Zea mays: one gene and its partner. The protein of the gene in region 2 interacts with the protein of the main gene of each other region in a biochemical or structural test. Links are inferred from orthologs where the notes say so. Each region holds a gene or a part of one and is shown on either strand. Other genes may lie near its edges. The genes, in order: uncharacterized protein and regulatory protein viviparous-1.

Region 1 (12,254 bases), on a different chromosome or scaffold from region 2:
TAACAGCAGCATGACATTGTTGTCAAACGAAGAAAAGCATACTAAAATGAACAATCCGAAGAAAATATGGCTACTTTGCCATGTGGCCATCTCCAAGAAAACATGATCTATGAGTAGTGGACAAACAGTAATACTCAGGTTGTTTGAAGAAATGCAATTACTGTACAGGGAAACTATCTACCTTTGAGTGAACTGCTTGGGCAAGTTTTTCACCAATAGGAACTTCCAGATATACCTGTATTCAGAGTATGGTTATCAGCAACTGTAAAAATGTTAAAAAGTAAGACCCATGTGGCAGTACAACCAAGATGTTGGAATATCACAGAAGTTACACAAAATAAATGTTCCATATGTGTTCCTGTGAAGTAAATGAAACAAACCCTTTTTTAGGAACATTGCTTTCCGTATATATTTACATCATCTAAACGGAACTTTTTATGTGTAGGATATGATACACGAGACAGTCGAGTACCTACCTTTTTGTATTGGATTCAGCTCTAGTACTTAACCTATTCAAGTAGTTGCAACATGTGTAGCATAAGACGAGACAATCCTTTGTTGTATGATGCAACGATGGAACAAACACATGGCATAGTGACTTCAAGTTCATACAACAGAATTTACCAAAACTTCATAGGTTGTTGATATCACATCCTGGTATTTGCAGTTTAATTGGCAGCTAAAATGCACTGGCAAGCTAGCATATTGCCTAACAAGTAATAACATTTACACACACTAGAGTAGAGCTTACTATCGTTGGGAATGGTGGGCTGATAAGAGTGCTAAACGCCTGCGGATCAGAGACATCGGCGTCCCCCCACACAAGTGAGCCAATCTCCTTCTCATCCTCAAGCTGCTGACCCTGGATGTACAAGAAGTTGGGCTGCACCACCCGCTGCGCCTCGAGGAACTGCTCTGGTGTAGGATTAAACAGTGTGTGGACCTGCATTCAGAAGCCCCTTCATTCAGCTGATAAACAAAGGAGGCAAACTGCAACGAGCGTGCGCACTCAAGCAAGGAGCAAACAGTTGACCTCCAATCGCCCAGCTGAGCTGAGCTCCGGGAATGGGTAAGACGGCCGTGGCCGCTTCGCCTCCAGCCCAGACTTCGCTGCTGGTGCTCGCTTCTCAGCATACTTCCCACACAGCACCACAAGGAGCACACAGTTGTTCCGCGAGAAGCTTTGGATTTGAGACATGGCTGGCAGGCCGGAGCCTCCCTGGCGGCGGCCGCGCAGGAGAAAAACCTCCCCTTGAAATCAGAAATCAACCCCACTTCTTCATGGACCAAACCCTGGGACACAGAAAACGCATCAGGAATCCCCCAAATCCCAACCAAATCCGCAGCGAAACTCACGAATCTGAGCGTGCGGCCTTACCAAGACGCGATTTTGCGGCGCAATCGGCAGCGGCACGCCCTCAATCGACGGCCGGGAAGGGGGCGGATTCGGTGCTGGGAGATGGGGGCAGCGAAGGGTAAAGTGCGCGAGAACAAACGGAGCCCTAGAAGATGATTCGCAGAAATAGATAGATACTGCAACAACGCGAAAGCAAATCCCACTGTGGAGGCAATAAAAAAGAGGAGCCGTCTCTGCTTGTGGTGGTGGCGAATCGGCCCACGCCCTTATGCAGATCCAGACAAACAAAAACAGCGCAATCCACAACCAAGAGGGGCGAAAAAATCTGTCCAAGAACCGGAACCAGAGCTGAAGCGGATTAACGGGCGACGACGACCACGGGGATCAGGCGAGCGGGCCTCATTAGCAGCGGCAAACAATCACGCATCACAGAGACAGAAACTTTGGAACAGTCTCGGCTCGACCAGGGAGGCGTCAAGATTGGATTTTTGACGGGTACGGGGAGGTCAGTCCGGAGATTCTCCCGGACTTCTCAGATTTTCGCCCTAACCGCCTGCCTGCTCACACGCATCGCCCAGCTTGATGAGGAGATTAGATGAGTTGATGTGCGCCTGCTCTCTGCTGTTGCTGGTGCGTTGTTTTCCCTGCGCCTTTTCGTTTTCTCCTTTTTCCTCCTCCGCTTCATTACTGCTGCAAGCCAGGGACGGCCGGAGGAAAACAAACGCGGATTAAAAGATTAGGAGTTTTGGGAGCAGGATTGGTGAGGGGGCAAAATAATCTCTTTCTGTGAGAATTGTTTTTGCTGGGATCGGAATATCGGATGCTGGCATGCTGCTACTGCTTTTGCTGTGCAGATCGATACGGTGTGGCCTGTGGTGTGGCGTGGCCGCGTAGGGTTGTGATCCAGCTTGGGCTGCTTGGCGCTCGCCGCTCGAGCGGTCGAGCATGCAGGGTGGGTGTGCGCGTGTATTGCAGCTCGCGATCGCGGCGGCTTTGGCCATTTGGGTGGGGGTGCCTGTGTTCGTGGGATCGTGGGAGCAAATGGCCCGTTTGATCCGTTTATGCGTGTTCCTAATAGCAAGCAACGGTGGAGCGACCGCACAGCATGAGGAGCCCTTCGGTAGAGCTTCTTCCCTTCTCGCTATCACCCACTTCCGCTTCGGCCACTCGATCTTTTTGCTATTATAATTAGAGGCGTCAATGTAGAGATAGTGTTGAAAACGGACGAAAAAAATCCATACCTCGTTTTCGTTTCTGCATTTTATCATTTACCGGGTACAAATTAGTTAGGAACAAAAACGGAAGAGGGATAAACGAGTTAAATGGAAACTGAAATTTAAGTGAAAACTTGTATTCTAATACAAACATATGATATTTTGATAGCTAACTGGTAACTGACTGATATGGCAACAATATAAAATAAATAGATATAGAGGGGCAACACTCCATTGATATTTGCTTGCTAGTGGTGTACGTATAGCTACAATCGGTTTTTTGAGCTTTTAGGACACATGTCGTTAAAGAGAGCCGGTGGCTAAAATGACCACTTATGTTATAATTTGTCACCTAAGGATATGAGGCTTCAGCTAATGCACTAATGTATATTGGGATGGTCTCGGATTCTCAAAATACGAGTTTAACCCGAATAAAAACGGGCAGGATAGACCCTCTCTCGTTTCTGTATCGTTTCCGGTTTTTCCCGTAAATACGAAAACAGTCAGATCAAATATAGAAAACAGTACGGGTTAGAATGGGATTTTACTCCGTCCGTTTTCACCCCTTGGAGGAGTTATGGTGCGGTTCCCAAGCACCACGGAGCTGAGCCGTTTAACCGCTTTGAGCTAATTCTTGCGAGGAGCGAAGCAGAAAGAGCGCTAAGAGCAACTCCAATAGTTATATAATTTTAGCTCTATAAATCATAGATTTAAGAAGTTGCTAAATAACTTTGGGAGTAAAAAAATGTGAGTTCTCCGATAGTGAAGTTGCTAAATGGTTATATAAGGATTTGCTCAATTACCTTCATTATCTACATAATGCAATAAACATTTTTGTTTAGGGAGTTGCTAAATGGTTGCCAAATGTAGAGAGGAAATAAGGTTAGATGAGAAGTTGTTAAATTTAGAAAGTTCGTTTAGAGAACTGTTGGAGATGAGTTTTGTGTTAACTACTTAAATTGTTGAGTTAGGAAGTCTATTAGAGAACTACTGGAGTTGCTCTAACAATGGGACCTTAAGTTAGCAATGCAGCAAAGTTGATGGGCGGTGATCTTGGTGCCCCTGCACTAGATAAAAAGTGCTCCTCCCAAGGTGGCAAGGAGCCAAAACCGTTTTAGAGACACAAATCCTTATCATTATAATCATGGGCGGCCCCAGGGGTGTTTCATGGGTATTCATTGAATACCCATGTTTTTGTGATCTATAGTGTTAGAACACTAATTTGTCAATAATGTATTACATAAAATAGCGTTAGAACACTAAATTCTTTAATCTTTTGAATTTTTGAATACCCAATCTCAAATGTCTGGGCCCGCTTCTGATTATAATGTACCCGTATATCCTATAGTTCTGAAACAATCTTATTAAAGATCAAATGATGATCAAGTACAGAACTACCCTCTTACAACTTATGCATGTATAACTTTAGCTTCATATGTATCTTGCTTGTCAAATCCTTAGGCATACAAATATACTTCAACTTGAGCCATAAGACAACTACAATTTTATCTTGCAAACAATTTGCAAAAATATTATTTGGAAGACGAGGTCGGATTTGAGTCAAGGCTTTACAATCTTTTCTCATCTCATTGGTCCAAGATTTTAAATTATTTTTATTAAATTTAACAAGAGCACCATTGACTTTAGCGTGCATAAGAATAGCCCTCAACTACATAAATTGAGGTGTAACCCTAGCAAAAAAATATCTACAATCCGGTATACAGCTTGTGTATGTTTAGCAATGAATTTGAAATATTTTGGTAATTTCCTTAAGTGTGCGCAGCAAATAGGTTGATTTGTTTTCACTAACGATCAACGGCAGCAAGACAAGAGAAACTTGATTACTTTCTCGATTCACGTGATTGACAGGAAACATGGTAGCATGGATTTGAGACAACGACGATAGAAAATTTTCCTTCTCCATTTGTAGATGGATCATACACCGGTGACTAAAACCAACTATACCTCTCGGTAGTAACTTTTGCAAATGAATCGGCATACCACCAATCAACAATGGCATAAAAATTGACTCCATCTCGAAGATGCTGAACAGTAGATTTAAACATATATGACAACGCCACGAAACTTGCAGATAGATTGAAACAATAGAATTTTTAATCTTATGTTTGGTTCTGACACCACTTGTTAGTTTATAATGCAAATATAAACCAAACACAAGGCTTAAAATTTTACGTAAAAACCTTCACGAGAAAAAGTCACACACGCCAAGCTAGAATCTCTATTTTACGAGGAGAGTGTATAAAATACAATAAATGTAATAAATCATTTATCTTCTCATAGGACTTACAAGATAGATATATATAAGAGGACTAGTCACAGGGGTTGAAAATTACACGCATCAGCCAACGCCCATCACACCCCAGTCACTGTCATAATCCTCCTCGAACAACGGTTGTGCCACACTATGACACTATGCAAGATCTGCTACTCTCATTCCAAAAACCGTCAAGCTTATCCGCTTCGTCTCTGTGTGTCAACATACTATGATTGCCTATCGACTTTTATTGATGACCTGCTATGCGTCTAGGCCTACAAACAAACTAGATGATAAGATAAACGAACACAGATAGGGCATAGCACAAATCAGAGGTAATAAGATCGCAAGATATTTAACTCAAGCATAAGTAACTAGGTATATATATATGTCAACATGGTAATCACGAAGTTCATCAAAGGGATTACATTCTGGAACTGTTGAGTTCAGATATAAATGAATTCTCCACCCCTAACAGCATTTGCCGCACCCCTTCTATCTTCTTCCTCTTCCCTTTCACGCTCCTTCCTGCTCTCATACACATGGTCATCCGTCCTCAGCTCATGCCGGCAGATAGGGCAGGAGTTGTTCTCGTCCTAAATGAAACAAAAAAAATCACGATTGGTTAGATATACCGATTGCAACAATGCTGCTCCTCTACTTCAAGCCTATTTATCTGCAGGGTTCACAAGAAGTTTACCAGCCATGGCTTCAGACAAAGAGGATGGAAGAGATGCTTGCAGGGAAGCTCCTGCATCTTGTCATCCACAACCAAGTTTTCGCGGCAGACAGCACACTCCGTCTCACTACCCAATCTAGACATGACTTCCTCGGTAACAGCAATGACAGGAAGATTGGCGACAACTTCCTTTGAAGCCGGGGGTGCCCTCTGTGGATACTCAATGATTCCCTGGCATTAAAATGTAAACTCGATATCAGTATTTTCACATCCTATTATAGTTCCAGCTATGTGAAGCAAACATACATGGCAGAGTTAGAAAGTTGTCACATAGAGAAGCTGCTTGACTACAAATTGTACAGCTTAGATCCTTTCCCACTACATGCAAGGTCCAATTAAGATAATAATAATAAACTTAAAGAGAATAATTTCCTCATCCATCAAAAACATGATGAGACTACCTCTGCTTTGAGCAAATCAGTACTATCACTTGAGTGCAGGCAAATTAGGTTTACAAGGCTAGTTTGTCATGAGATTGGATAAACTAAAGATCATAAGCATATAATTGTGCGCCCTTCTTTAGTTGGTTAAAAGACCTGACAAAAGACCTAGCAATGTACTAAAGAAGTAGATTCTCATGAAATGATTATTAAGTATTCATGCACACCTGCAGTGATTCTTCCAAAGCAGTTTCTAGATCCCTGTCGCCTGATATGGTTTCTAGGAGGTTCATTATAGCAGGTGTAATCTCCTCGGCTCTAGGCACTGTTCTGTTGTTGCTCCCATCTTGATCACCAGAGGATTCAGTTAGTATGCTCAATTCCCTCGTTAAATTCTGGGCAACAAGCCATGCTGGAGGTGGAGGTTCCTGTCCCACAGTAAGGTGCCCTTCAAAAAGAAATCTGGTGTCTGCGAAAAAGCAACATCTTATTAACAAATAGATATTGGTAATAACAAATTTTAAGAGATATTGCATCATTAAGTGCATAACAAAAATATGTTATGTACCTGCTTCTCTGTTGCTTGGCACAGAATCCTCATTTTCCTTTTCATCAAGATGCTCACGGGCCCTCGAAATGCAGGTCTTCAGGTGCTCCTTTTCAGCAGGATTACTTACCAGCTTCTCTATTCCAACGAAGAGGTTCAGACCAACATGCCAGAATCCTGGAGCTGTATATCTGGTTTGAAGCACTGTTGCAACGCGGCAAACCGTTGAATACATCTGCGGAAAATAACAATTGCTCAAAATAAACACAAAGATAATAGATGAGTTTCATAAAAAAAAAAGCGGGAGGGGGAGGGGGGACTGCCCCATGGCTTTGCAGTTTGCACTCAGTGAAACCGGTCCAAACCCCCCCCCAAAAAACCCGGCCTCACCTATAGGGACATACAGTAACCATGGTTGGTGAACACTGTCATTACCTAGCTGGCTGGTGCCACTACTCGTTGACCAACCACTACTAGCGTCTTTGGTAGATGACACTTGTAACAGTCAAGAGTGAACATAAAGGACATTCAAGGTCATAGCAGTCCAAATAAATAGGATATTATGTAATAATAACAATATAGGCATATAGTTGTACTATAGAATGCAAATTGATTGACAAAACCTTTTGCAGTTAAAAAAGAATCGCCAAAGGGAGCTTTTTACAACATTAATATGGATCAAAATGCCCACACAAAAAGGTGCTATGCCTTTTGTAGCTCCATGGCAAATATATCAATTTGTATATGTGTGTGTCATGCAGTAGCATATACAGTACATATCTTTCAATGTACCCCCTAGTTAAGCACATCAAGAGAAGTTACCATGACACGTTCTGCAGAAAAGTTGGCTACTGATACTGGGGTTGTGATGCTACTTGTACATGACCTTGGTTACAGCATTCCTTACATTATATAATAGGGTTAAAGGAAAGTGTCATGGATTGGGCTGCCAAATGGGCCTGACACGGACCAGGCTGCAAAATGGGTTAGTGTTATGCTTGCTATAAACTATAAAGGTTCAGAGCATATGCCAGCAAAGGGGATGGAACAGGACCAAGTATAGGCTCTGTCTTATCCTACCTCTGAACTCTGCTCATGTACTAGTTCTTGCTACCTGCCTCTGATTCCTTGTCATTTCATGTCTCCACATTCTGATTCTCTTGTGATGTATCTCAAACCACCAATTACTGCTATTGCTGAGATTTGTCGGTCTAGGACCCTGACACAAAGACCAATTACTGCTATTGCTGAGATTTGTCGGTCTAGTAGGACTCTGGCACAAAGATATGTCATTATTCAGCAGGCACTTTACTATAAGATCTAAGTTTTGACTTTTGACCAAAGCCATAGTAACACAGCGAGTTAAACCAGCCTTGATTTCATCATCTATTGACGAATGGGTGAGAATGCCTCTGGTTAATTGCCACGGAAACCCCATGACTAAGGGCCTGTTCGGTTTGAGGGGGACATAAGTGGATTAAATCCCTTCCTATTCAAATTTATATAGAAAGAGCCTCCGATCCCCTCAATTCACCCCAACCGAAACAAGTCCTAAGGGTGTTTAGTTTTTCTAGGGACTAATTTTTAGTCCATTTATATAAATTTAGCAGTTGCAATCGAAGCAAACCCATGTCCACGCACGCAGAGCTAGTGTGCTACGGCCTACGGTTCCATAGACATCGAAATTTGGTTTATGGAAAGCCAGCCGTGAGCCGTGCCGGCCACCCGAATTCGGAATTCCATCATCCAGAAGGCAACGAGAATTTTTTTTTTGTTTTGTTCCCGTGGATGCTGGAGAGGTGGGGTTTGCGTTACCGCTTTGCGGAGGGCTGGAGAGGCGCCGGCGTAGCGGTCCCGGACGGCGGCGGCGAGCTCGTTTACGGCCTCCTCGAAGTGCTGTGTGATGACCCGTGGCCGCGGCTAGAGTTCGCCGGGCGTGAGTCGGTAGCAGACCGGTGAAAAGAACGAAGCCAAGGACACCGGTGAGTTGGATTTCGATTTCTGTTTTTCTATCCCCTCTCAATCAACCAGTTACAGTATTTATAGATCTGAAATCCAACTAACAGAACGACTAATGACTTGGCTAATCACTTATTACAGCCCAAAGAAGAATAATACGGCCCTATTATGGCCCAAACCCTAATACTCAAAAGACCCACTAATACTCCATACCTGTGCCTAAACACCGCCACCTTGGGTCATCACATCTCCCCCAGCGTCAAAAGACGCTTGTCCCCAAGCGTGCGCTGTAGGAAACCTTGCCTTCACCACTTCATAGTCTTCCCAGGTAGCCGCATCGGCTGGAAGACCTGTCCATTTGACCAGCACCTGGACAATAGCATTGTTTCCTTTACGTACCATCCTTCGATTCAGAATTTGGTCAGGCTCAACATCCCCTTGGGACAGATCAACCAAGAGAGGAAGTTCAGTGTAAACTGGAGAATAACACGGGTGAAACGGCTTAAGCTGAGACACATGAAACACTGGATGCACCTGAGCATCGGGTGGCAATTCCAGCTTATATGCCACTGCCCCAACTCGAGCTATAATCTTGTAAGGCCCAAAAAACTTAAAAGACAATTTAGGACAAGGCCGATTCACCACTGTCTTCTGTGCATATGGTTGAAGTTTTAACAGCACCAATTCTCCTACTTGAAACTCTCTTGGTGTTCTGCCCTTATCAGCATATTGCTTCATACGCAACTGTGCTCTAGCCAACTGTTCCTTCAACATGGCAGAAAAAGCACTCCTTTCCTTGACCCACGTAGTGACATCCGGGTCCTCAATATTGATGAGCCTAGGGAGGGCTAGCATAGGAGCATCATAACCATATAACACCCTGAATGGTGTACAACCCAAAACAACATGATAAGTGGTATTGTACCAATACTCCGCGAGAGCCAACCAACTCTTCCATTTGGTGGGCTGAGAGTTGACAGCACACCGGAGATACATCTCCAAGCATTGGTTCACACGTTCACTTTGGCCATCAGTCTGTGGGTGATAGGCTGTAGACATCAACAGCTTGACCTCCATCAACTGAAACAGGTTCTTCCAAAAACTGCTAGTGAACACTTTATCCCTGTCAGATACCAGCGATTTGGGTACGCCATGTAGCTTAACCACATTGTCCAGAAAGACTTGTGCAACACCCTTTGCAGTAAAAGGATGTTTCAAAGGAAAGAAATGGCTATATTTCGAGAATCTGTCCACCACCACTAATATTGTATCAAACCCTTCCGACTTAGGCAAACCTTCAATGAAATCCATAGTCACATCTTCCCACACACCCTGTGGTACCGGCAAAGGTTGTAATAACCCAGCTGGATGAGTTCTTTCACTCTTGGCCTTTTGACAAATTGCACACTGTTGCACAAACTGGACCACATCTGCCTTTAATCCCCTCCAATAAAACACTTTCTTTACCCGTTGATAAGTTGCCTGAGTACCAGAATGACCACCAAGGGCACTATCATGCAAAGCTGCCACCAACTTGGTTCTCAGAGCAGAATTAGCACCAATCCAAATCCTGCCTGCCTTACGAATAATGCCTTGATACAATGAAAACCCATTCTCATCAGGACTGCGCACCAACAATTGAGCTATCAACTGTTGAGCTTCAGCATCAGTAGCATAAGAATTCAGCACCTCCTGTACCCAAACTGGTTGCACTTCAGAAATGGCAGCCAAGTCCAATACTGAACTCCTCCTGGACAATGCATCAGCAACGACATTCTCTGCCCCCTTTTTATATACAATCTGAAATTGCAATCCCATTAACTTGGTCATAGCCTTCTTTTGAAGATCTGACTGCAATTGCTGGTCTCCCAAGAATGTCAAAGATTTGTGATCTGTCTTAATCACAAATGCACCCCTCTGCAAATATTGCCTCCACTTATCTACAGCCATAATCAAAGCCAAAAACTCCTTCTCATATATAGAAAGATGTTTGTTCTTTTCTCCCAGAGCTTTACTAAGAAAGGCAATGGGTCTGCCCTGTTGCATCAACACCGCTCCAAGACCCACATCTGACGCATCTGTCTCGACTGTAAAAGGCAGATCAAACCTGGGCAGAGCAAGAACCGGTGTTGAAGCCATAGCCTGTTTCAACTTATGAAAAGCAACCTGAGCATCTTCAGACCACTGAAACACCTGTTGTTTCTGCAACAGCTTAGTAAGAGGTCGAGCAATAATACCATAATCTTTCACAAATTTCCTGTAATAGCCTGTTAAACCTAAGAATCCCCTCAATTCCGTCACATTCTTAGGTTGTGGCCAGGACAACATAGCCTCAGTTTTACTAGAATCTGTAGCCACCCCATCTCTTGAAATCACATGACCCAAATATTTGAGTTCATGCTTCACAAAGGAGCATTTCTTCATCTTTAAGAAAAACTGGTGCTCTCTCAGCTTGGCCAACACCATCCGAATATGTTGATAATGCACTTCCAAACTAGGGCTGTAAATGAGAATATCATCCAAGAAAACCATAACAAATTTTCTGAGAAAAGGCTCCAACACTGAGTTCATGGCACACTGGAAACTAGCTGGTGCATTAGTGAGACCAAAAGGCATTACTCGAAACTGATAATGGCCATGATGGGTTTTAAAAGCAGTCTTGTATTCATCCTCAGTTCCCATTCGAATTTGATGATATCCTGCTGTCATGTCAAGACTGGTAAAATACTGTGCACCAGCTAATTCATCCAGGATCTCATCCACCATAGGCATAGGAAACCTGTTCTTTATAGTCATTCCATTTAACTTCCTGTAATCTATACAGAACCTCCAGCTGCCATCTTTTTTTTGCACAAGTAAAACTGGAGAAGCAAACGGACTGACACTAGGGACTATCAACCCTGCTGCTAGCAGTTCAGCAATTTGCTTTTCAATCTCAGTTTTGTGAGCTGGAGAATATCGATAAGGCCTTGAGTTTACTGGAATAGACCCTGGCAACAGAGGAATGTGATGATCATAAGGTCTGATTGGAGGCAATTTCGAAGGCACAGCAAAAACATCTTCGAATTCCTTTAAAATCTCCTGTAGAACTGCATCATTTGTCCCAATTGTGTCTTCTGAAACCTGCTCTAAAAGCACAAATACCCAGACTTCCTCTCCCTTCATCCATTTCTCCAGCTGCAACACAGATACTTGTCGCACTTCCTGCACTTCTCTAGCACCACCCTGTAACCTGACCGTCTTCCCTTGATCAGTAAAGGTTAATACCTTGTTATTCCAGTCACACTCCATAGGACTGTGAGCCTTCAGCCAATCATACCCCAGGATCACATCATATGCTTCCAAATCTAACACCCTCATAGCAGTGTTGTACAGGTGCCCCCCAGAACTCCACACTACTTCCTTAACTCTTTTGTCACTGATCATAGCTGCTCCATTTGCCACCTTAACCCGCACAGTGGAACAATCTTCAGTGATCAACCCCAATTTTGCTACAATTCTCTGGCTGATAAAAGTTGCAGAGCTACCAGAATCAATGAGCATGACCAACATCTGATCCTGAACCAGAGCTTGGACCCTCATACATCCATCACATTCCGTGCCACTAATAGCATTCCAGGACAACTGATGTAACTCCTCCACACACTTCTCCTCATCTTCCAACTTCTGCAATACCTCATCAGTCAAAACCAGGCCCATATCTTCCACGGTCAGATTATGCAGTTGAGTTACCACCCTCTTGGGACATTTTGCTTGATGGCCTGGCTCAAATTTATCTCCACA
Region 2 (13,361 bases):
ACTGTATCATACTTCCTTGTTTTTTAAAGGGCTGCAAGAGCTTTGCTTCGAAGTTCAAAAAAAAGGAGTACAGACAATATTTTTCAGAGAAAAACAGCAACAACACAATGACTATTTTCTTTGAGTGATGTGTTATCTTGTCCGATCTGCAAGCAATAAGACGGCAGGGCTTGACCAAATAAATCTAAGGAAGCTTGTCGATCGACCGCGGCGGCGGGCGGCACATGGCGGCCGGAGAGAGCTCCGTCGACCAATCGGCACAGGGGATGTATACTAGTTTAACATATCGTTCCCCGGCGGAACCGAGCGCGCCATCACGTCATGTTTCCAACGCCAGCGCCGCACATGGCGACGAACGGACAGCCTGGCGCGCGGGGCTGCTGGCCACGGGTGTGGATCCACTCCATCCGTCGAGCCCGGTCGCCGGCTCGCCGCAGCGAACGAAGTCCCGGCCATGCATGCCCCGTCGTCGTCCATTGTCCTGTCCAGATGAGGAATCTAGGGGCGCATCAGGAATCAACCAGCAGGTTAGGTGCCGTGCGTGATGCAGATGCAGCATGTGTGGCCTTCCTTTCCTTCCTGTTTATACACATAAATAATTTTAGGAAAGAACCACCCACCTTTTTTTTCTGCATATATACACACGCATGGTGGTCGTTTCTGTTCATCGCTTATCACCACTGTGCTTCGTTCCATCAGCATTGTTTATATATAATAATAAAAAAGCAACCACCATGCACGCTTTGTTCGGAAAAAAAAAAGCAACCCATGCTTGCAACAAAGTTGGGTGCGCGGTTAGTTAATTGGCTTTCAAAATATGATTGCTAAGTCAAGCCAAGCATTTGACAAGCTATGGTTTTAGCTATCATTTGGTTTGTTACAGAACTTGTCAACCTCTCACATTTGGCTTGCCAAATCCATAACAGATTTTTTTTAATCTGGCTTTGGCTTGGCATGCATGACAAATTTTGGTTCATACTATCATTCCGTTTGACAAATCTTGGTTCGTGACTATTATTATTTGGTTTGCTACCAAAATCTCTCAACCTCTCATATTTGCCTGTGGCTTGACAAATGTATAACGATTATTTTTTATCGGATTTTGTCTTCCTAAATCTTTGGTATGACAAATTTTGGGCATAAACCAAGCAGGACACCACTATATGCAATGCATGCATCCAGGAAACTACAAAGCATAACATACACGAAGGCATGTGTAGAATGTTCTAGCTTTTGCTGCAGGCTGCAGCTGTCGTCTTGTTAGCCGAATGGCACGTCGCCGACACCAATGGCCGAGAGATCAGGTATGTCCATGCATGTACAGACAGGACTAGTATAGCTAATTAACCACGACATGACACAGCCACGCACGGGCCCAACTCACAAACCAAACCATGCACACAAATTTAGCGTCACACAGCGGGTGGCTCTACTACTCGATTATATTTAATATATCATCTCCTAGCACGCTACATGCTTAGCACACACGACGGAGGTTACCATCGTCATCATCAGTTCAGCTGTTTCGAGCTATAGCTAGCTAATAGTAACTTGGAGAACTAACGATCGATTGGTCGATCGATCAATATATGGCGGAGTCTGCTGCTCTTTCAGATGCTCACCGCCATCTGGCTCATGGCGCCGGCTCCCTGCTGCCGAACCCGCCGCACGCCTTCCGGAGACCTCCCCTTGCAGGCGCCGCTGACCCCGTCGACGACGGCGTCTTCAGGAGCACCGGCGGCTGCGGCTCTCCCTGGACCTGCTGGACAGAGGGGCCTGTGCTTGCCTCCCCCGCTGGAACCACTGCCTTGCTCTTGCGCCGGCGGGGGCCTTACCTTCACGCCCCGTATCAGCTGTGGATATATATAGGACACAAGGGGGGTTTCAGGGTTCTTGATGAGTTGCTGCTGAAGTAAACCAATTCCATGAACAGCGAGATCAAAAGATGCCACTATGTCCTTGATTGCCATCCAGGCATCCACATACAAACAGTGGCATGCAAAACGGTTGCGTAGATTTGGATTGCAGTTTCAAGGACGACAACACGTTTGAGTTGACTAATGATGCAGGCATATGGACCAGAAAAACGAGCATTATGTAGCAAGGAAATAGTCGGCAATAGAAGAACATACATATTTGCCCGACTTGACATCGGAGTAGATCACTATGAAATCCCCCTCCTGAAGCTCGTTGGAACGAACAAATTCCCCTGCAGGTTGAGAAAGAAAAACAGGAAAAAAAGATCAGACAGACCATAACGACGAAGAATCGTTGTCAAGGTCGGATGGATGGAAATCATAACGTTAAGATCCTCTCACCTGTGTTCTCCAGCAGATACATTCTGCTCTTGTTGTTGGGCCAAAACCTGCGTGCATGCAATAAGGAGCTCAGCTGATGAAAGCACTGACATTGCACTGGTAACAGTCGATACTATACCGTATATATGAATAATAATTTTAGTTTTCAGCAAGGTAATCCAGTTTTGGAAAAAAAACATCACCAGATCATATGAGAATCCAAAAAAACAGTTACCTCATTTTCATAGAACCTGCACTACTGGAACAAGTTGTTATTATTATTTTCGCAACTCGAATTACTAAAGATTAATAAACTTCATTAGTATGAGAAAGCCAAACCAGAAGAAAGAGCCACAAGACGACGACGAAGAAGAAAAAACGCGACTATGGCTGCTGCACAAAGATGTGCACCTAGCTGCCAAACACTAGTACAAAGAAGCTCTATAGTGGCGGTTTAAAGCTATTTGCACTGGCGTTTTTTAGTGTCGTCAGTGCTAGGGGTCAGTTGTTTATTCGAATTCTACTGGCCCCTAGCACTGGCGTCACTGAAAAACGCCAGTGAAAATAGCTCTAGGAACATCACTATAGAGCTTCGCTGTACTAACGAGAGATCCGGAGGACTGAGAGACCATGTTTACTGTGGTGTCCTGGACTGAGAGACCATGTTTACTGTGGTGTCCTGGCAATCATATTTTGGACCGAACAGAAGATGCCATTTTCAGAACAAATATCACCTGACCTGGTGGTAGTGGTATGTTATATATCAGGCTTATCAGCAAGTTGGAGAAGATGCATGTTTATTGCGTGCAGAATTCCGTGTAGACGAGTGCATGCCACTATTTGCTCCTCGGATTCTCATCGTACACTATATTCATATGACCCACTTGCCAAATTGGGAAAGAAAGGGACCATGCCACAGATGTCGTACTCATGCCATTTACTATCTCTGGCCCAGTGGTTAGTGGTATACTACCTATATATCTCTCCCTGCCCCCAGTAGACGACCATGCACGAACTGCAGGCAGCAGCTCTCAATCAATCAATCAAACAAACAAAGGAAAAGGAGAAGGAGAAGAAACAGATTCGAGGAAAACAGCAGCCAGCAACTGGATTTAATTTATGGATGCTCGACGTCTGTCCCTAGACCAATGATGACACACACACTCACCTGTACCGCATGTTCCACACGCGCGACGTTCCGATGTCCTCCATGGGGATGGAGATGCCATCCCTCGTCTTCAGCTCCGGCAGGTGAACCTCCGCTTCCTTCTGAATCGTCCAAAAACAAGACAAGGCGACGATTTTTAGTTGAGATGCCAAACCAACCACGGCCCAGTTCAGTTTAAAAAAGGCAAGGCGGTTTTGAAGAACAGATTCAGGGGCAGTTTGCGAGCTTTGGTATATATGCGTAGATCTATATATATGACCTATCCATGGCCGATTTTAGTTAGTTCAAGAACAGAAAGTGACCAAACTGATGCAACAGGCATGCATGCACGCGCAATGCAAGCTAAGGGCATGTTTGGTTTCAATTAGTTCTAGGACTAAACTTTAGTCCTAGGACTAAACTTTAGTCCCTATATGTTTGGTTCTAGGGACTAAATAGATTCTAAAGTCATTAAATACATTGTCCAAAGACTCAAATACCCTTAGAATATACTCATGATATTAGTTATCTATAAAAAGGTAAGGGCAACATGATAATTATGAGCTTTTAATTCTACTGGCAATCATTTTAGTCCATATTTTAGTCCTAGTGTTTGGCAAAAAAGGGACTAAAAGGGACTAAAAACTAGAGACTAATCTTTAGTCCCTCTAACCAAACACCCCCTAAGTAGATAGATCTATATGCGCAAGTGGGGGGTATAGATATGATGCAGATCATGAAGGGCCGGCCGGCGTCTGTCTCACTTTGGGGAGCACGATGCGGCCGAGGCTCCCGACGTCGCTCTGCTTCAGCACCTTCTGCAGCAGGAACCGCAGGTTCTTGTCCGCCTTGGCGCCCTGCAATCCCACACACATGTTCGTCCATCAGAACCATATACGCGTGAGTGAACACCCGAGGAGCACACGCATCGAACCCGTACGCGAGCGAGCGTACGGCACACGCGCACGTCGATTCTATTGCTCGACAGCGATGTGCGTCTCTCTCTATTCGGAGCAAACGCAAGAACACAGATTGGTATAGATCTCGTGCTGGCTAGCGATGCCAAGCTACGCATGCATGCACCTGCCGCTTATCTGAAGCCGCTGCGAGGCGGTGGTGAATGTCGTCCTGCCGAGCACCAGCAGGCGCGGGCTTTGTCTGTGGCGCCACCGCCGCCGCTTCCAGCGAGGGAGGCGGCGCCCTTGATGAATTGGACTTGGAGAGCGGGTTCTGGACCTGCTGCTGGCTGCTCGGCGACCAGAATCCCCAGCCGCCTGCTGACGGCGTGACCGGGCCGGAGTGCGTGGACCGAGGGGACGGCTCCTGCAGGTGGACGGAGGCCTGGATCTGGCCCAGGCTCAGCTGCTGGCTGCGCTGCTGCTGCAGGCAGGACAGGCGCCGCTGTCTCGCCATGCGCTTCTTGCGGGCCTCCTTGGTCGCCGAGGCCTCCACGCCTGCCATGCGCTGGGGGGCCACTGAGAGGTGGCCAGCGCCGGCGCCGGCGTACTGCCCGCCGAATCCGGGGGAGAACGGCTGCGGCATAGGGTAAGAGCCCGTGGAAGCCCCAGGCGGTGGGAACGGCACGTACTGCTGCGGCCAGGCCATGTTCGCGCCGTGCATGTCGCCCACAGGCGGCGGGGAGAACGGTTGGCTGTTCACGACCACGCTGCTCGTGCTGGGGCCCTGGTGGAAAGAGTACTGTTGGCCTGCCGCGCTCGGGTACACCGCGTCGCCGCCGTACGCAGCAGGCGGCGTGAATGCCTGCTGGTGGGGCATCCAAGATGTGCCGCCGCCCGCGGCCATGTCCTGTCCGCCGGCGGGGAACTCGTATCCTGGTGGGTTGGCGACCGGGCTGGGGAGCTGGACGTGCAGGCCCGCCTCCTCCTCCATCACGTCGCGCGGGCGCTTCCTCTGGAGGTGGTGGTTCTGCACCCAGGTGAGGATGAGCTTGAGCAGCTGCATGGTGCCCTGGCGCCCGCCGCCGAGCCGGGCGGCGGCGGCCTCGATGGTGGAGCGGCGGAGGCGGATCCCGCGGAGATCCTCGGCCGAGATGTTTTCGCGGTTGCTCGTGAGCCACTCCATGAAGAACCGCGGCAGCTCCTCCCCCTCCGACGCATCCATGCAGGCCTCCTCTCCCCCTGTGGTCCCTTCCGGCACGGCTTTCTCTTCACTCATGCCGTCGCCCACCGGCTGCGGCGGCGCCGACATGGCGTTCTCTAGCATCATGCTAACCCCCGGGAACGGCTCGGAGTCCCACGGCATGGAAAGCGACGCGAAGTCGAGGAGCTGGTCGATGTCATCGAGCGCATCAAACCCTTCTCCGGCCGAAGCAGGCTCGGAGGGCTCGCCGCCGGCTCTTCCTGCCGTGTTGGTGTAGGCGCTGGAGGAGTTTGACGAGGAGTTGGACGAGAAGGTGGAGCTGGACGGCGACGAAAGGCAAGGGAAGTCCGGGAGGGAGGGGAACGTGTCTTCAGCGAACATGAAATCATCCGCCGCCTCCCCTCCGATCTCCTCCGCGGGGGCCCCTCCCATGTCGCCACCGTGCTCCGGCGGGTTCTCTTGGGAGTGCGGTGGCGACGAGCCGGCGGAGGCTTCCATGCAGAGAGACACGACGACAAAGGGAGGAGAGAGACGGTGTCTGTGTCTGCCGCCGCCGCCTCTCGGGTGTAGGTGTGGAGGTGGGTGCAGTTACTGAGGAGACGAACAGTGCAAGCAGGAGGTGGAGAGGGAGAAGAAGAGAGAGAGAGAGGAGGGAACCGAGATGCGGCTGCGTGACACACGTGGCGACCGAGGGGAGCGCTCCACCGCCCACGCCAGCCTCTCCTCGGCCACCATACTTCTCACCCCTGGCGCGCACCCTATACCTCTCTCGGAGACGTGGGGCTGAAGATAATGGACCCACTTTGTCATAGAGGTATCACAAACTATTACTGATTAGGTTTCTCTGTGCATGACCCGTCTATGGCATGGGCCGAGCGATGCTGTCCAACATGTCAGTGTCTGTGTGTTTTCAGGTCTCGCCTCTTCGCCGCGTTCTAATTTGACTGCTCCAGAAACGGAAACGAGAGAGCGCCCATGTTTTTGGTCAGTCAATGAGGCGTGGGCCCCGCGAGCCCGTGCGTGGAGAAAACAGCGTGCGCGTAGCTGCTTCGGCGCCGTAGGATGTCCGTGTCGCCGGCGCGCCGACTGAATCCCGAGTGTTGGGACGATTCCTGACCGTCCGATGCAGTCTCTGCGTGATCCCACGGACGGAAGCTCCAGGATGGTGCCACTGGCTTGTCTACGAAGCAGAGGAGTTTCTCTACGCGCACGCGCGGAACCTACACGGTGTGGGTGATTCGGGGACTTGAAGGCGGGCACGACGACGTGGAAGTGGAACCCTTCTATTTGGGAACTTTGCGTGTAGTATACTTAGATGGGTGGATTGTACTAGTAGTAGGAGTTCCTTTGCAAACTCCTCGGGCTTTTTATTATTAATCTGCGGTCCTCCTCTTACTTCATCTTTGGCTCTATGTACTTATGTTCTTTTAGCATTTTCCCACCTGTGCATTTACAAAAAAAGATGACTGGCGTTCTTAAATATGGTGTCAACCGAATTTTCGGGTCTGCTAGCTATGCCAAAAAGATATTTTGATGACAATATATTTATGGTGGAAGATTAATTTGATAGGTTTCATGTGGTTGTCTTTTGGAAGGTGGCGCAATTAATTTCTCTATGCAAACGTGAGAAACCCACAATTGGACTTTTTTTGGAGGCGTTGGTTCAGGTGGGCCACGGCACATTCTAAATATCACAACAAAGCAGTAAGCTTACTAGTTTAAATTTTGTGTTCTAAACGTTATAGTTTAAACTCTATTTTTTATTTTTACACCCTAAGACGCAACATCCAATATATCCTTACTTTACAGTAATATTTAAAAGATTCTCTCATCCATATCTAATTTCTATTCATCAGTGTCCTCTATATCTCACCATCTATACATAAATACTTATATTAGAGATATATTTTGCTCTAGATTTTTGCACGTACATATTTTTATATCCTTAGGGCTAGTTCGGTAACTTCATTTTTCCAAGAGATTTCCATTTTCCCTAGAAAAAATGAACTAATTTCCTTGGAAAATAGAAATCACTTGAAAAAAGGTTGTCGAACTAGCCTTTACATATCTTAAGTTATTAATCTTTGTTTAAAATATTAAAATGGGGTAGATGGGAGGGCAGATAATATATATAGAGGACGAACGTCCTCTAAATTTAAAGGACATTGTTAGAGTAGATAGGAGAGATAACCTCCCCTATATTTAGCGTACATGAGAGGATATCGGCTACTGCTAGACTCAACCTAAACCCGAGGGTTGAGTTCATCACTACTTTGCATATTTACATTGTTCAAGATTAGGGGTGGCATTTTTAAACTGAAGACTGAACCCAAACCTGAGCAGAACCCAAATAAACTAAATTGTCAGCCTATATTGGGTTTTGGGTTTGGGTTTGGGTTTGATTCCTACATTTGCTATAATTCAGGAGTACATATGTACGGGTTAGGGTTCAGTTTTTGGTCCCAATAGACCGAATAACCCAAAATATAAAGAAACTCTTGACATGTGATGATATTATTATGTGATTTATGAACTTATAAGCTAAAAATTATGATGCCATCTTACGGGCGTGGGAGGGGACCAGAGCCTACACGACAGACACTCCTTAGATGAAGTTGTCGCACCATCCGCGTTGTGTCTGCAGCCGAGAGAGCAGAGCCTCCACGTCTTAATTTCGTCTTGGACACGGTCGGGGAGCTCCTACTCCACAATTGTGGAGATGCAAGGAGCTCGATGGAGAGGAAAGCGAGCGGGTGGGAGGATGAAAGTCGCCTAGAGGGGGTGGATAGGCGGAAACTGAAATTTACAAACTTTAAGCACACTTCAAGCCGAGGTTAGAGTTAGAATAAAATTGAAGTCCGGAAGAGAGGGCGAAAACAAATCAACCAAAAAATAAAGCGGATGACACGGTGATTTGTTTTACCGAGGTTCGGTTCCAAAGAACCTAGTCCCCGTTGAGGTGGTCACAAAGACCGGGTCTCTTTCAACCCTTTCCCTCTCTCAAACAGTCACTTAGACCGAGTGAGCTTTCTCCTTAATCAACCGGGTCACTTAGAACCCGCAAGGACCACCACATAATTGGTGTCTCTTACTTTGATTACAAGTGCTTTGAAGAACAAGAATGGGGAAGAAGAAATCGATCCAAGCACAAGAGCTCAAAGAACACTAGCAAAACTCTCTCTCTAGTCACTAGGTGTTTGGAGTGTATTTGGGACTTAGAGAGGCTTTGATTCTTTTGAATTGTGTCTTGTATTGATTGCACTAGCTCTTGTATTGAATGAGATGTCTGAAAAAACTTGGATGCCTTGAGTGGTGGTGGTTGGGGTATTTATAGCCCCAACCACCAAACCAACCATTGGGGAGGTTGTCTGTCAATGGGCGCACCGGATAGTCCGGTGCGCCAACTACGTCACCCAACCGTTAGGGTTCTGACGGTTTCGACCGTTGGAGCGCTGACTTCATATCGCACTGGACCGTCTGGTGCCGCACCGGACAGCTATTGTCCAGTGGCCGGTGCGTAATGACTCTGCGCTCTGACTCTGACGCGCATTGTTCACGCTTTTGCAGACGACCGTTGCGCTGGATAGTCGTTGCTCCGCTGGTGCACCGGACAGTCTGGTGCCACACCGGACAGTCCGGTGAATTATAGTGGAGCGGCTCTCCAGAAACCCGAAGGTGGCATGTTTGAAGGAGTACGGCCCTGGGCACCGGACAGTCCGGTGCGCCAGACCAGGGTTCTCTTCGGTTTCTTTTGCTCCTTTCTTTTGAACCCTAACTTGATCTTTTTATTGGTTTGTGTTGAACCTTTAGCACCTGTAGAATATATAATCTAGAGCAAACTAGTTAGTCCAATTGTTTGTGTTGGGCATTTCAACCACCAAAATCATTTAGGAAAAGGTTTGACCCTATTTCCCTTTCAATCTCCCCCTTTTTGGTGATTGATGCCAACACAAACCAAAGCAAATGTATAAGTGCAGAATTGAACTAGTTTGCATAAGGCAAGTGCAAAGGTTGCTTGGAATTAAACCAATTTATACTTTCACTAGATATGCATGGATTGCTGTCTTTCTTTTAACACTTTGGACCACATTTGCACCACTTGTTTTGTTTTTGCAAATTCTTTTGGAAAATCTTTTCAAACTCTTTTTGTAAATAGTCAAAGGTACATGAATAAGATTTCAAAAGGCATTTTCAAGATTTGAAATTTCTCCCCCTGTTTCAAATGCTTTTCCTTTGACTTAAACAAAGCTCCCCCTGGATGAAATTCTCCTCTTAGTGTTCAAGAGGGTTTTACCAGTATGAAAAAGATTTAGATACCAATTGAAAAATCCTCTTTAAATACTTTAAGAAATTTTGAAATGTGGTGGTGGTGCGGTCCTTTTGCTTTGGGCTTAATATTTCTCCCCCTTTGGCATTAATCGCCAAAAACGGAGTCTTTTAAGAGCCCTTTAACTTTCTCTCCCAATGGTACAAATAAATATGAGTGAAGATTATACCATAGCGGAGAATGGTGCGGAGTGACGGCGAAGGGTAAATAATACCGATAGAGTGGAGTGGAAGCCTTGTCTTCGCCGAAGACTCCATTTCCCTTTCAATCTATGACTTAGCATATGAATAAACTTAAAAACACATTAGTCATAGACATAAAAGAGATATGATCAAAGGTATATAAATGAGCTATGTGTGCAAAGTATCAATCAAAGTTCCAAGAATCAAGAATGTTTAGCTCATTCCTAAGTTTGGTAAAGGTTTTCTCATCTAATGGTTTGGTAAAGATATCGGCTAGTTTTTCTTTGGTGCTAACATAAGCAATCTCGATTTCCCCCATTTGTTGGTGATCCCTCAAAAAGTGATACTGAATGGCTATGTGCTTACCGCGGATGTGTTCAACGGGATTATCCGCCATACGGATTGCACTCTCATTGTCACATAGGAGAGGGACTTTGCTCAATTTGTAGCCATAGTCTCTGAGGGTTTGCCTCATCCAAAGCAATTGCGCACAATAATGGCCTGCGGTAATTAGGGGTATGCGTTCAGGTTACCCGAAAATTTTGGGTCGGGTATTTCGGGTTTTTAAAATTTCGGGTTTTGAGAATCGATACCCGAAATTACAACGAGTTTTGCAATACCCGAAAATTCGGGTATCCGGAATTTCGAGTTCGGGTATTCCCGAACTACCCGAACTATTATGTCGGCTTCATAAAAACACATACACCTTATTAAATTAGTATAAAAATATAGTTTGAATAATGATATACATGGACATATAAAACACAAGCAATCTACAATCACAAGTTATGCACACTTACACATATAGATGCACAAATTAATAATTAAGCATGACATGAGTACATGACACATGAAAGTTCGGGTATTTCGGGTACCCGATTGTGATACCCGAATTACCCGAAATAAATTTGGGTTTTGCAAGTTGCTACCCGAAATTCCCAAACAAAATTCGGGGTTCGGTATTTCAGGTTCAGGTTCGGGTATTCCGGGTTTGGGTTTCGGGTTACGAGTTTTTTGCCCAGCCCTAGCGGCAATATACTCGGCTTCGGCGGTAGAAAGAGCTACTAAATTTTGTTTCTTTGAAGCCCAAGACACCAGGGATCTCCCTAGAAACTGACAAGTCCCTGATGTGCTCTTCCTATCAATTTTACACCCTGCCCAATCAGCATCTGAATATCCTATTAAATCAAAAGTGGATCCCTTGGGGTACCAAAGACCAAACTTAGGAGTGTAAACTAAATATATCACGATTCTTTTCACGGCCCTAAGGTGAACTTCCTTAGGATCAGCTTGGAACCTTGCACACATGCATACTGAAAGCATAATATCCGGTCGAGATGCACATAAATAGAGTAGAGATCCTATCATTGACCGGTATACCTTTTGCTCTACGGATTTACCTCCCATGTCGAGGTCGAGATGCCCATTGGTTCCCATGGGTGTCTTGATGGGCTTGGCATCCTTCATTCCAAACTTGGTAAGTATGTCTTGAATGTACTTTGTTTTGCTGATGAAGGTGTCCTCTTGGTGTTGCTTCACTTGAAATCCTAAGAAGTACTTCAACTCACCCATCATTGACATCTCGAATTTTTGAATCATTATCCTACTAAACTCTTCACGAGTAGATTTGTTAGTAGACCCAAAAATGATATCATCAACGTAAATTTGGCATACAAACAAATCATTTGCGATGGTTTTAGTAAAGAGTGTAGGATCGGCTTTACCGACTTTGAAGCCATTAGTGATAAGAAAATTTCTTAGGCATTCATACCATGCTCTTGGGGCTTGCTTGAGCCCATAAAGCGCCTTAGAGAGTTTGTAAACATGATTAGGGTACTCACTATCTTCAAAGCCGGGAGGTTGCTCAACATAGACCTCTTCCTTGATTGGTCCATTGAGAAAGGCACTCTTCACGTCCATTTGATAAAGCTTGAAGCCACGGTAAGTAGCATAGGCAAGTAATATGCGAATTGACTCAAGCCTAGCTACGGGTGCATAGGTTTCACCGAAATCCAAACCTTAGACTTGTGAATATCTCTTGGCCACAAGTCGGGCTTTGTTCCTTGTCACCACACCATGCTCATCTTGCTTGTTGCAGAATATCCACTTGGTACCTACACCATTTTGATTAGGACGTGGAACAAGATGCCATACCTCATTCCTTGTGAAGTTGTTGAGCTCCTCTTGCATTGCCAACACCCAATCCGAATCTCTTAGTGCATCCTCTACCCTGTATGGCTTAATAGAGGAAACAAAAAAGTAATGTTCACAAAAATGAGCGACTCGAAATCAAGTTGTTACCCCCTTATGAATATCGTCGAGGATGGAGTTCACGGGGTGATCTCTTTGGATCGCTTGGTGGACTCTTGGGTGTGGCGGTCTTTGACCCTGAACTTCTTGATCATCTTCTTTGTCTTGATCATTGTCATCTCCCCCTTGATAATTGTCCTCCTCTTGAGGTGGCTCATCCTCTTGACCTTCATTTTCATCATTTTGAGCTTGATCCTCATCTTGGGTTAGTGGAGATGCTTGCATGGAAGATGATGGTTGATCTTGAGCTTGAGTGGGCTCTTCGGATTCCTTAGGATACACATCCCTAATGGACATGTTCCTTAGTGCGACGCACAGAGCCTCTTCATCATCTAGCTCATCAAGATCAACTTGCTCCACTTGGGAGCCATTAGTCTCATCAAACACAATGTCACAATAAACCTCAACTAATCCAGTGGATTTGTTGAAGACTCTATATGCCCTTGTGTTTGAATCATATCCTAGTAAAAAGCCTTCTACAGCCTTAGGAGCAAATTTAGATTTTCTACCTCTTTTAACAAGAATAAAACATTTGCTACCAAAGACTCTAAAATATGAAACATTAGGCTTTTTACCGGTTAGGAGTTCATATGATGTCTTCTTGAGGATTCGGTGAAGGTAGAGCCGGTTGATGGAGTAGCAGGCGGTGTTAATCGCCTTAGCCCAAAACCGGTCTGGAGTCTTGTACTCATCAAGCATGGTCCTCGCCATGTCCAATAGAGTTCTATTCTTCCTCTCCACTGCACCATTCTGCTGAGGTGTGTAGGGAGAAGAGAACTCATGCTTGATGCCCTCCTCCTCAAGAAAGCCTTCAATTTGAGAGTTCTTGAACTCCGTCCCGTTGTCACTTCTTATCTTCTTGATCCTTAATCCGAACTCATTTTGAGCCCGTCTCAAGAATCCCTTTAGGGTCTCTTGGGTTTGTGATTTTTCCTGCAAAAAGAACACCCAAGTGAAGCGAGAGTAGTCATCCACAATTACAAGACAATACTTACTCC

What was found.
Region 1: the proteins of regulatory protein viviparous-1 (region 2) and uncharacterized protein form a complex in vitro, tested with the Arabidopsis thaliana proteins (2 studies listed by BioGRID, with this or other methods). The link is inferred for Zea mays from reciprocal best matches to the Arabidopsis thaliana genes ABI3 and AIP2.

Annotation. Positions count from the first base shown.
Region 1 is NC_050097.1:188,438,619-188,450,872, forward strand, and holds the end of uncharacterized protein, read right to left. Parts: exon of another isoform or gene 8,685-12,254; intron 8,660-8,684; exon of another isoform or gene 8,409-8,659; coding exon 8,328-8,408; intron 8,249-8,327; exon of another isoform or gene 7,593-8,248; intron 6,748-7,592; coding exon 6,534-6,747; intron 6,435-6,533; coding exon 6,193-6,434; intron 5,757-6,192; coding exon 5,547-5,756; intron 5,443-5,546; coding exon 5,293-5,442; 3' UTR 5,181-5,292; downstream 1-5,180. Other genes in the region: AT-rich interactive domain-containing protein 4, read right to left, coding at 182-235, 752-943, 1,034-1,198. UniProt on the Arabidopsis thaliana protein: E3 ubiquitin-protein ligase that acts as a negative regulator of abscisic acid (ABA) signaling. Mediates ubiquitination and subsequent proteasomal degradation of the transcription factor ABI3.
Region 2 is NC_050098.1:164,985,801-164,999,161, reverse strand, and holds regulatory protein viviparous-1, read right to left. Parts: upstream 6,189-13,361; 5' UTR 6,043-6,188; coding exon 4,528-6,042; intron 4,302-4,527; coding exon 4,209-4,301; intron 3,567-4,208; coding exon of another isoform or gene 3,564-3,566; coding exon 3,466-3,563; intron 2,366-3,465; coding exon 2,319-2,365; intron 2,210-2,318; coding exon 2,133-2,209; intron 1,854-2,132; coding exon 1,611-1,853; 3' UTR 1,216-1,610; downstream 1-1,215. UniProt on the Arabidopsis thaliana protein: Participates in abscisic acid-regulated gene expression during seed development. Regulates the transcription of SGR1 and SGR2 that are involved in leaf and embryo degreening.